Linked DNA regions of Rattus norvegicus. The protein of the gene in region 2 interacts with the protein of the main gene of each other region in a pairwise test. Links are inferred from orthologs where the notes say so. Each region holds a gene or a part of one and is shown on either strand. Other genes may lie near its edges.

The links.
Region 1: the proteins of Ccnh (region 2) and Znrd2 interact in binary tests that used the Homo sapiens proteins (3 or more experiments, as listed by UniProt). The two-hybrid records come from large-scale screens. The link is inferred for Rattus norvegicus from reciprocal best matches to the Homo sapiens genes CCNH and ZNRD2.
Region 3: the proteins of Ccnh (region 2) and Dusp12 interact in binary tests that used the Homo sapiens proteins (3 or more experiments, as listed by UniProt). The two-hybrid records come from large-scale screens. The link is inferred for Rattus norvegicus from reciprocal best matches to the Homo sapiens genes CCNH and DUSP12.

Annotation. Positions count from the first base shown.
Region 1 is NC_086019.1:212,446,502-212,450,101, forward strand, and holds Znrd2 (protein ZNRD2), read right to left. Parts: upstream 2,293-3,600; 5' UTR 2,196-2,292; coding exon 2,177-2,195; intron 2,096-2,176; coding exon 1,944-2,095; intron 1,826-1,943; coding exon 1,741-1,825; intron 1,617-1,740; coding exon of another isoform or gene 1,567-1,616; exon of another isoform or gene 1,210-1,566; coding exon 866-1,209; 3' UTR 509-865; downstream 1-508. Other genes in the region: Fam89b (leucine repeat adapter protein 25), read right to left, coding at 1-38. UniProt on the Homo sapiens protein: Might play a role in mitosis. Antigenic molecule. Could be a centromere-associated protein. May induce anti-centromere antibodies.
Region 2 is NC_086020.1:17,587,374-17,591,122, reverse strand, and holds the end of Ccnh (cyclin-H), read right to left. Parts: intron 3,410-3,749; coding exon of another isoform or gene 3,399-3,409; exon of another isoform or gene 1,609-3,398; intron 1,603-1,608; coding exon 1,491-1,602; intron 1,142-1,490; coding exon 1,081-1,141; intron 213-1,080; coding exon 174-212; 3' UTR 45-173; downstream 1-44. UniProt on the Homo sapiens protein: Regulates CDK7, the catalytic subunit of the CDK-activating kinase (CAK) enzymatic complex. CAK activates the cyclin-associated kinases CDK1, CDK2, CDK4 and CDK6 by threonine phosphorylation.
Region 3 is NC_086031.1:85,661,467-85,665,215, reverse strand, and holds the start of Dusp12 (dual specificity protein phosphatase 12), read left to right. Parts: upstream 1-1,208; 5' UTR 1,209-1,226; coding exon 1,227-1,567; intron 1,568-3,749. UniProt on the Homo sapiens protein: Dual specificity phosphatase; can dephosphorylate both phosphotyrosine and phosphoserine or phosphothreonine residues. Can dephosphorylate glucokinase (in vitro).

The DNA.
Region 1 (3,600 bases), on a different chromosome or scaffold from region 2:
GCGCCACCGGGCGCCTCAGTTGAGGGCAGCCCGTTCATAGCCAGACCGCGCGGACCGCGATGCCGCCTCCACCCCTCCTACGTTTGCTGCGGACTGCTGCCCAGAGGACCCGCTCTCTGTGGCCCGGCCTCCGGAGAGAGCCCAGCCGCCGCCCGCAGGCCGGGCTTTGTTCCGTCCCAGACTCCTCCGACTCCGCCTATGCTCCACCCCTCTGCATGGGCGGAGCCACACTTAACGCGGAGATGACCCTGGAGCCGGAAAACCCATCAAGGAACTGGATAGAAGGAGTGAGGCCGACTCTTTTTGCTGCCTCATTCCTACACAATGTTTGTTCTACACTATTCTTCTCCCAAGGGAACAATTCTAAAAGCATGGGGATGCAGGAGGCTGGAGTCTGCAGTAAGACTGTGCCTGGCTCTTAAAGTGCACCATTGCCCTCCCCACAATTTGTCAAGATGGCAATGGCCATAAGCTGGAGCAAGATGATGGAATCAGAATGGTCAAAGGAAGGAAAGGAAACCACCAAGGGGACTAAACTTCAAATGGCAATCAGGTCCAAAAGGTGGATGAAGGGGGTATAGGATCAGAGACAATGATAGTGACCCAACTTTTGAGGGGACTGAGGTCACTCCTTAAAATAAGGTGTCATTTATCCCTATCATTTACATCTTGTCCTGAATGTAGAACCTCTCCATTCAGGTAGAAAAAGACCATGGAAAGGTGAGATACCAAAAATAAGAAAAAACGTCGAGCAGAGCTGGGCTTGCATGCACACTCAGAGGCAAGAAAGGAACAGACCACACGGAGGAAAAGCTGTTTTTCTAGAGGGTTTTTCTCAGGGGGAACAGGGGTGAGGGTAGAGGCCTCAGTGCTCCAGCTGCTTCAGGCTGCCCAGGGCCTCAGCACAAGCCCTGATAAGCCCACAAAGTTGGATACTAGTCTCCAAGGAAGCGCTAGAGCCCAGCTCGACTGACGCCCAGGTTAGCTTCTGTAGGAGGGCTGTCTGTGTGGAAGCCACCACGTCTGCATTTGGAGGTGCAGCAGGAAGAGGAGGCCCCTGGGCTGCCTTGAGCCCTGCTGCAGCTCCCTCACAGTGCTCTGGACGGGGTACTGGTGGCTGGGATGGGGGCCGAGAGCTGGAGGCAGGCTCTGTAGTAGAGGCCAGCTGGTGTTCCCGAGCTTGAGAGAGGGCTGCCTGTGCATTCAGAGCTAAAACAAGAAAATAAGTGGAATAGTCAGGATGCCAGATCCATCGCTCCCCTGAGCCCTTTGCTCTGTACTGATCCCCCTGTGTGTCTGGTGTTTTTTTGTGTAGGCCAATCCATCTAGTCTCTACTCTTCTTTCTCCTCACACATGATTGCCAAACACTGCCCCACTGTTTTACACTCGAGAACCAGCTACTCCACAGTTGCCTTAGCCTCATTTATGCATTAAGTCTGTGCCTTTAAACTGGGATCTGTACTTCGGTAGTAAAGTGCTTGCACCACGACATGCACAAGTACCCGTGTTGCACATCCATTCTACACGTGGGGATGGCTAATTTGGCTCGGATTCTTGCCACGGTGTCAGAAACAAAAGGCTGATTGTTTTTCTTGAATGAATCTCCTCTCTAGGACTGAAATGAGAAGGCACCTTAATGCCCCTTCACGCAGAAATTTCCACTGTCACCTCCCAGGCTCACTGTTCCTGGGGAACTATCACCACGTTCCTCTCCCCATAGTGCACGTTCGGCCCCTCACCCGGGTTATCTTTATCCACGTCTGAGTCGAGCTCCTGACAAGCCACGCAGTAGATTTTCCGCTGTTTATCTTGGAGGAGGATCGTCTGGGAACCAGAAAGTACATGGACACAGGTGAGCCTGAGAGACAGGGTCCACAGAAGAGAGCGCTGAGAAAAGGTCTTGCGGCCTAGTCCGCAGCCTCAGCCTCATCACTCGCCTCACCCCGCAGTCCGCGCACGTGTCGCCTAGCATGCGGTAACCACGGAGCAGGTAGTCGCCCATGAGACGAGAGATGCGATCCTGCCGCTCCCGTCGCGCCTGCAGCACCTTCGTCTCAGCTTCAGTCGGAGGCTCCCAGGTGAAATCATCGACATCTAGGGGAGACAGATCCAAGGAAATGGAGGGAACCGCCTCCCACATCCCACGGCTAGTGCCCAAACAACCCGAGCGCTCACCTGCACCGTTCAAGGCCATGTTGCCGTGGTCACTGCTGGGCTCACCGGAAATGATGCAAATAAGGCGCGCCCCCACTGCGGCTCCGCCTCCCTCATGTAGCAAACTGAAGGCGGAAGTGACGTTTACATGGTCTTCCTGGCGCTTTACTCAAAGAGGGGCGTGTCGGCTGCACGTTTGACCCTGACCTACACGCTCGGCTATTAGCCAGAATTATCCATGGGTACCGCCGTCTCCCTGGTAACACTTCAGTACTTGGGTGTGGCTTTTCAGAGTCTCTATTTCTACTTGTTGCAGATGGAGTGGACCTTTGGTCTGTTGAGATAGATACCCGATTCCCTCGGGGTTGTCTTTCCACACAGGTGGAGCAGGAGGCAGGCGGGACCATGAATGACATCTGCCCAAAAGTCACTGCAATAAAAAGTTCTCTGCGGGGGTTGGGGATTTAGCTCAGTGGTAGAGCGCTTGCCTAGGAAGCGCAAGGCTCTGGGTTCGGTCCCTAGCTCCGAAAAAAAAAAAAAGAAAAAAAAAAAGTTCTCTGCGAGGGCGCAGAAACTCTTTAGGTCTTTTTGGATCAGGCTGGCTACACAGGGGACTGTGGTCGTTTTCTGCTTATTTCAACACCCTGTCTGCATGCTGGATGTCGTCTGTACACCTTCTACCAATGCCTAGAACTGATGTAAAGCCTGCTGTCTTAGTTATGGCTATTGCCGAGGTAACACCATGACCAAAAATAATTTGGGGAGGAAAAGGTTTATTTCACTCACAGTTCCATGTAACATGTTCATCAAAAGCAGTGAGGCCTGGAACTCAAGCAGGGCAGGAACCTGGCGGGAGCTGATGCAGAGGCCATGGAGGGGTGCTGCTTACTGGCTTGTTCCTCATAGCTCGCTCAGCCTGCTTTGTTACAGAACCCAAGAATGACCCTACCTAAAATGGGCTTTGCCCTCCCACATTGATCACTGATTAGAAAATGCTCTACAGGAGGATCCACTGAGTCTTAAGGAGGCATTTTCTCAATCAAAGTTTCCTCCTCTCCGATGACTATAGGGCCTGCTAGTGAAATGGCTTATAATCGTGTTTGAGTGGGTTACAAGTAAATTACCAGTGCTCCTCATAATCCTGGGTTCTTTACAAGAACAACAAGTAATTAAATGAAGAAGAAGGGCTGGAGAGATGGTTCAGTGGTTAAGAGCACTGACTGCTCTTCCAGAGGTCCTGAGTTCAATTCCCAGCAACCACATGGTGGCTCACAACCATCTGTAAAGAGATCTGATGCCCTCTTCTTGTGTGTCTGAAGACAGCAACAGTGTACTCATATAATAAAATAAATAGGAGGAGGAGGAAGAACGGCGGTAGAAAGATGTCTCAGTTTAAGAGCACTAATGGCTCTTGCAGAGGACATGGCTTTGGTGCCCAGATTCAC
Region 2 (3,749 bases):
ATATTCTAACTAGGTGGCAGTATAAAACAATCACAGAGGAAATATATATAAGAATTAGAAAAGTTTAATATATTTTGATGTTTTCACATTGCACTATTTTGACAAAAGTAAAATGTCAGACATGCTTCCTACTTCCGTCGGTCAGTAAGTACTGCTGCAGTCATTTACACTGGTTAGAGAGCATCTACCAGGTCATCGTCCGTCCACTCCTCCTAAAGGGAAAAAACATGTGGTGAGGGTAACACTGAAGAACAATAGAGCCATTTGTTCTTTTCTTCCCTTTAAGAAAATGTGGATTGACAACAGTCTATTATAGATCTGTTTGTCTCTGAGATGGTTTTCTACTATGGCTGCAGCCACCTGTGGTGTTGCTGTATCTCAAGTGCTGAAGTACAGGTATGTGCTAAGTCCTGCCTGCACTTCACTGTGACAATGACATGGAGGCCGCTGCCCGCTCTGTGAAGAAGTATACGAAGGCTATCCTTTTGCCTGTGCTTGTTTATCTTTGACTTCTTAAGAGACAGTTTTTAAAACTGGGGTAAGGCAAGGGAAGGATTCTTATAGAACAGATAAAATTTGGCAAACCACACCTTCTATCATAGGAAGTTACTTCAATCAAGTAGCTTACTTTAGAAGTGGTTCACTGTCATGTAAAAATAGACCATGTAGAGGCTCCCTGTGAGCACCATGTAACAAGCAGCTGCCTCTTGCTCCTACCACCTTGTAGGAAGCCCTCTTCATGCCTTCTCCTGCCATGGATTCTTATCCCCCTGAACTGTTACCCAAAATAAATCTTCCCCTTAACGATATCTTTAAAATTCAGATTGTGCATAAACAGGTAAGTAAAAAATTATTTCAAATTTCAGACGTACTTGTAGTCCTAGTATTCAGAGGGCTGAGGCTTACTTACTTCTCTTAAGAACTGGGAGTTCATGACCAACTAGAGCTACAAAGCAGACACTGTTTCAAACATTCTCAGCCCCATCTGTCTATAATGCTTATAATCGTTCAGAACAGTACATGTTAACTTAGTTCATGCCAGAAAACAAAAATGATAAGTTTATCTAGGGGAAAACACACCTCTTCCTGTTTGGGTTTCTTTGATACATAGTCATCGTCTTCGTAGCCTTTCCTCTTCTTTCTATAAATAAGCAGTTATTGATTAGCAAAACTGATACTTGCAACAAAATTAATTATAACCCAATGTGGTAGCCTACAGCTACAAAGACAGCACTCAGACTGAGGTAACAGGATTACCTTCACTTCAGACTAGCATGAGTTAACAGGAGTGAGACCCTATCTTCAAAAACAAAATACATTTTTACTGAAGAACAGGCACTAGATAGCTCAACTCCAAACAGACAAAAATCAGTGTACTCAACTTTTTTTTAAAAGTTTGATTTAGATGCTAACATTAACAAACTTTGTACCAGTGACATAATTGAACTCAATGGCTTTATGAACATAACTTCTGTGTCATGCCTACTTACGTAACCATATTAAGTGCAAGGTCAGAAGAATGACATCGCTCCAACTTCTGTTTCAGAATAGCAACTTCTTCAGATCTGGGTGGCTCATACTTTTTTACTAGATTTCTCATGCCTACACGGGGATACAAACGTATTTAATAAAAACTCTTCTGCCAGATGTTGTGGCACATGCCTCCATCTCTGCACTCAGGAGTCACAAGCAAGTGGAACTGAGTTTGAGGCCAGCCATGTCTAGGGTAAGTTCCAGGAAAGCCAGGGCTACACAGACAAATCCTGTTTTAAAAAACAAAACACAACCCAAAAAGTCTGCTTGTATTAAAGAAAGCATAATAATCTAACTTGCTTCAGGAAAGAGAAGACATTGATGACAACAAATATTCTTACTAGGATTTGTATTCTGTATTAAAATCAAGCAGCAGCAGCCTTTAAAGTTCAAACAGTGAGTATCTGCTGTTTATGTTATACTATATATAGCATAAACATAAGCATGCTGTATATAATACTGGTAGTAATTTTTTATAAGTACCTTCATGTATACATTTTTCTCAATTTAAGGCTTTTGAAATAATCCCTATGTGATTTAGTAAATATTCTTTATTCTCTACTAACAACCATACACAGTAACAATCTATACTATAGATGTTGTTCCAAAAATATACCCTCTTATTTACCATATAAAAATATATATATAACAAGAAAAGAATGCTTTCCTTAACAAAAGTTAAAAACAAACTAGATAAGTAAAGATAAGATTACATAAAATACTTTCTATCTTGTTATTTAATATAATAAACCAAAAATCTCAAGATTAGAAACCTGTCTGGGGACTTACTGTGTGGTCATGTGCTTTCAGACTGAAATTGGTATTTGTGATTCAACATCTTTAGGTCAATATCTTTTTTTCAATAAGAATACCTTCATATTATTAAAACTGAATATTTTCTGAAGTGTTCTTGTTTCATAAGAAATCAATAATTAAGCTGTAAGCTTCAGATAAGCAGTGTGTTTTCTTAATGGTTCCTTCTACTACCAAATTGTTAGAAAGTACTATGATCAAATCACAATTAGCTTTGGAAGTGAACCCTCTAGTGGTAAATACAAAGACCTACAGTTTATAGGGAAAAAAAAACAAAAACAAAAAACCCTCCATTATGCTTAGAGGAAATCCAAAATTACTTCAAGCAAAAAAATCACTTCAAGGCATGAAACTACATGACTAGAATGTCAGCTTTTAAAATAAACATTAAAGTATATGCCCTAAACAAAGGTCTGCAAGCCAGTATTTTAATTGGTTTGCTTTACCTCTAAAGTACATTTCAATACCTGTGAACATAACTGCCAAGACAAGAAGAACTGAGCATGGTGACATATCCCTACAATCTTTACACTCAGAAACTGAGGAAAGACACTTCAAGTTTAAGTCTAGCCTGGGCTACATTTCTAGATTCTCAAAAACACAAATTAGTGATATATATGCCATATATGTGTATTATGTTTATACGTACGTAGGTATGTGTGTACATATGTTACATACACACATACATTTAATACATAAATGCATGTATTAATTAAGCAGAAATTCTAATCAGAATTTCTAAAGAGGATTTCTCAATTCTAGCACCAAGGGGTTTTGGTAAGCCTGTTATCAAAGTCTTTTAATTTCTAAGGCTCCTATTAAAATCATTACTAATTTGGTGTTTTAAAGCAACCAACTGTATACTCTCACCCTTCAGAGTCCAGAAATCTGAAACCTTTTTTCCTTGGGCCAAAAATCACAGTATTGGCAAATTTTGTCTGAAGGCTCTAATGTAATGGCTTTTTGACACATCACTCCAACTTTAAAGATATGCACATTTTTTGTCTAAACACTGTTTTTATGACCGTCTCCAACATATCTCTACCTTCTGTTCATGAGGACCCTGTGAAAACATGCAATTTTTTTTTAATTTCTTATTGAATATTTTCTTTACTTACATTTCAAATGTTATCTCATTTCCCGATTTCCCCTCTGGAACCCCCCATCCCTTCCTCCCTTCTGCCTCTATGAGTGTCCCCCCCAACCCCCACCCCATCTTCCTGACCTGGCCTTCCCCTACACGGGGGCATTGAGCCTTCACAGGACCAAGGGCCTCTCCTCTCATTGATGTCAGATAAGGCCATCCTCTGCTACATATGTGGCTGGAGCTAAGGCTCCCTCCATGTGTACAATTTTGGTTGGCACTTCTTCCTATGGGGTTGAAAGTCCCTTCAGCTCCATTA
Region 3 (3,749 bases), on a different chromosome or scaffold from region 2:
CAAAGACACTCGTATATGTGGGTGAAGGCTCTCTGAAGGAAGAAGTTCAGCTTCTCCATGTCTAGTGAGTTATGTAGGTGTTGTCTTCAGGATTGGGGTCTTGCCATCAGTTGGTGGAGAGCAGCCTAAGGTCTTGGCAACAGTTTGAGTGGGTTTGGGGTGGGGGTGAGGGTGGGTTCCATGAGACTCCATTGACCAACAACTCAATTAGATGTCGACCAATCCTGACACTGGAAGCTTCATTTGGTGACAAGAGATGTCCAGTTGGAGAGTCTGTCTCCCCCATTATTTGGACATTTCATTTAGATTGCCTTCATATATGTTTATTTTAGGAAGCTCTACCATATTAGGTTTTCATGCCCCCCCCCTTAATTTTAGCTGTCTGTCCCTGCTTTTCTCTTCCCTTTCCCATTGGATCCTTCTGTTCTAGCCGCCCCTCAATCCAGCATAACTATCTATTATTCTATTTACCTTTCCTAGGGAGATCTATCTTTCCTCCCTGGTCTGTACTTAAGCTCTGTACTTAAGCTCTGAGGTTCTATATATTGCAGCTTGGTTATCATTGACCTAACAGCTAATATCCACATATAAACTTATACATACCAGATTTGTCTTTCTGGGTCCTCACTCAGAGTGATTTTTTTCCCCCTAGCTTTATCCATTTACCTGTGAATTTCTTCTTCTTCTTCTTCTTCTTCTTCTTCTTCTTCTTCTTCTTCTTCTTCTTCTTCTTCTTCTTCTTCTTCTTCTTCTTTTTTTTAATGGTTGAGTAACACCTTATGGTGTAAAACGCACCACATTTTCTTTATCCAATCTTCTGTTGTGACACATCTAGGTTTCCGATTTCTGATTAGGAAGCATCAATGGACAACATGGTTGGGCAAGTGTCTATCTTGAGGTAGATTCCCATCCTCCTGAGGAACTTCCGAGCTGATTTCCATAGTGACTGTACAAGTTTGCGAACCCACCAGTAATGGATGAATGGAGACTTCATTTTCTGCCTTGGACTTTAGAGGCTTGGGTGGAAAGGCTGCTCTAAAAGGAGCTTACTTAGCACACAGTCCCAGCAAGCCTCACATCACCTTCCCCAGAATCAGTCATTTTCCCTATTGCCGTGGTCCTCCCATGGCGCTACCGAGCGGCTGGAGTTAGTCCGACACCGGAGCTGGTTACTCTAGCCGGTGACTTGGTGGCGGGCAGAGGCTGCTTGGCTTCCTGGCGCCGCCATGTTGGAAGTACAGAGCTCTAACCATGGCTGCGAGCGTCAGGCTCCGACTACCAGCCCCGCCAGCTCGGCAGGGCACGCGGTGGAAGTGCGGCCCGGGCTGTATCTGGGTGGGGCGGCGGCAGTGGCTGGACCGGACTACCTGAGGGAGGCGGGCATCACCGCCGTGCTGACGGTGGACTCGGAACCGGCTTTCCCGGCCGGGGCTGGTTTCGAAGGTCTCCAGAGCCTCTTCGTGCCCGCGCTGGACAAACCCGAGACCGACCTGCTCAGTCACTTGGATCGGTGCGTGGCTTTCATCGGCCAGGCTCGCTCCGAAGGCCGTGCGGTGTTGGTGCACTGGTGAGTGCCCCAGGCTGGGGGGCGGTGCCTTACCCCGTGTCTAGCCTCTCTGCTGAGGCGCCCAGAAGTGGAGGGCGGTGCTGTCATAGCCCAAACCCTCTTTCCTCATCTTCCCTTGGGGTTTGTGGCTCAAGGGAGAGTTCGTAAACCCGCCCTTGGTTAAGGTTTTGTTTGATTTCATTTTCCAGCAACCATTGTCTGTGCATCCATCCTTCCATCCGTCCATCGGTCTATCTGCCTATCTGTGTTTTTGGAGTTTGGGGTTCACCAGATTAGTTCATTAATCACTAACCATTACAATTATTTCATCAAGTTTAGCAGCTTTGTAAGAGAAGTCAGAATCATTCTGGTGAATGGAGTACAGGGGTGAAAGTACGTGATACTTTTCTTCCTCGTCCTAAAGCTCACTAAACAAGAGAAAAACATGGGGCTTTTTGTTTTTTGAGGCAAGGTCTAACTGTACAGATCTGGCAGGCCCGGAACTCGCTATATCGAGCAGGTTGGCTTCAAAAAGCACAGATATCCTCCTGCCTCTGCGTCCACAGTGCTGCACACCTTTAGTGAGCCACCATGCTCGGGCAGTTTTAATCAAAGATTTACGTGACTCGCAGGTTTAGAGAAGCATGCACGGACCAAAGGAAAACCGTTCGTTCACATTCTGGGACTAATTAAGACTGGACAGTCGTATAGAAAAGGGATTGGACAAGAGGAGTGTGACATAATGCTATGGAAATGAGCCAGGAAACTCAGCCTGTCCTGAATTGATCGTCCTCGGGTGTATAGGCAAAGCCCTTTCTGGAATTGTGGTCTTAGGATGTATCGGACTAAATCGATCGGAGAATTAATTTGTCCTGCTTATAGCACGTTAGGCAAACATGCTGCTACTATGATGACACAGCCCCGATCTTAAGAAAATGCCTTTGGGGCAGGTTCTTGGAAAGGTGGAGGAAAGTTAGAGTGATGTTTCTCTCCATATTTTTGTTGTTTTGTTTTTGGGATGGAAGTTTTGCTGTGCGGTCTAGACAGTCCTTGAACTTGGGACCCTCCCGCATCCACCCCCAGTGCTGGTATTCTTTTTTTGTTTTTTGTTTTTTGTTTTTGGAGCTGGGGACCGAACCCAGGGCCTTGCGCTTCCTAGGCAAGCGCTCTACCACTGAGCTAAATCCCCAACCCCAGTGCTGGTATTCTATGCATGTGCTACTTACTGCTTTGACTTTAATTCTGGTTTTTGTGCTTAGAGTTGAAGAAGAGTGCTTCTAGCCTCTCCTTCAAGGTTCGTCAGAACATCAAGTGTCCAACACAGTCGAGTATGAGAGTCAGAGGTGCAGGGCTTCGCCCCAAGAAGCCCAGGTACCTGAAGTTGGGTCTGGGGTACAGACCTGAGTGAGGATCACTACAACCCTGTGTTCGACTATTGATTGACGCCCTGTGTGGCCAACTGTGTTCATTGCCCCTGAGTCCCACCAGAGGGCGCACGATGGCCAAACTGCTGCCTGCACCCATCTCTTCCACAAGGTGGAAGGAGCCAATGCAAATAAAGTTATTAAGTACTGGTGTGGGGGAAAAAAAGAAGGAAAATCTTAGTAGGTGTTTGGGGATCCCAGGGTAGTCCTGTTGGGGTCCGTCTGAACTGCTTCGTTGGACACTTCCTGTGTACCAGTAGTTGTAAAGATTTACACAAGGACAGAAGGTAGTGATGAGAAGTATGGAATCAGATCTGGAACAACTTGAAGTCAAGAGCCGAGGCGCCATGGCAACAGTTAAAACATTGAAGGCAGGCATTGTAGAATAGTTAATGCATCCACACTGTTCGGAATTAAGAAGGAATAAGGAAATAATCGATTCATGTTGTGCGTTGACAGTATTTAAGGGGCAGTGGGTTAATTTGAATGGAAATAGGAATGAGCTGGGTACAGGGCGCCGCACCTGGAATTCCAGCACCGAGGAGGCTGAGGCGGGAGATCGTCCTGACTCAGAAAGGAGTGAGGTGGACCGAAACGTTACCACTAACAGTCGCTGGGCTTTGTCTTTTAGTTTATTTGTTGGTTGATTGATTGAGACAGGGTTTCTCTGCGTAGCCCTGGCCATCCTGGACTCAACTCTGTAAACCAGGCTGGCCTTGAACTCACAGAGATCTGCCTGCCTCCGCCTCCCGAGTGCTGGGATTAGAGGCGTGTGCCAC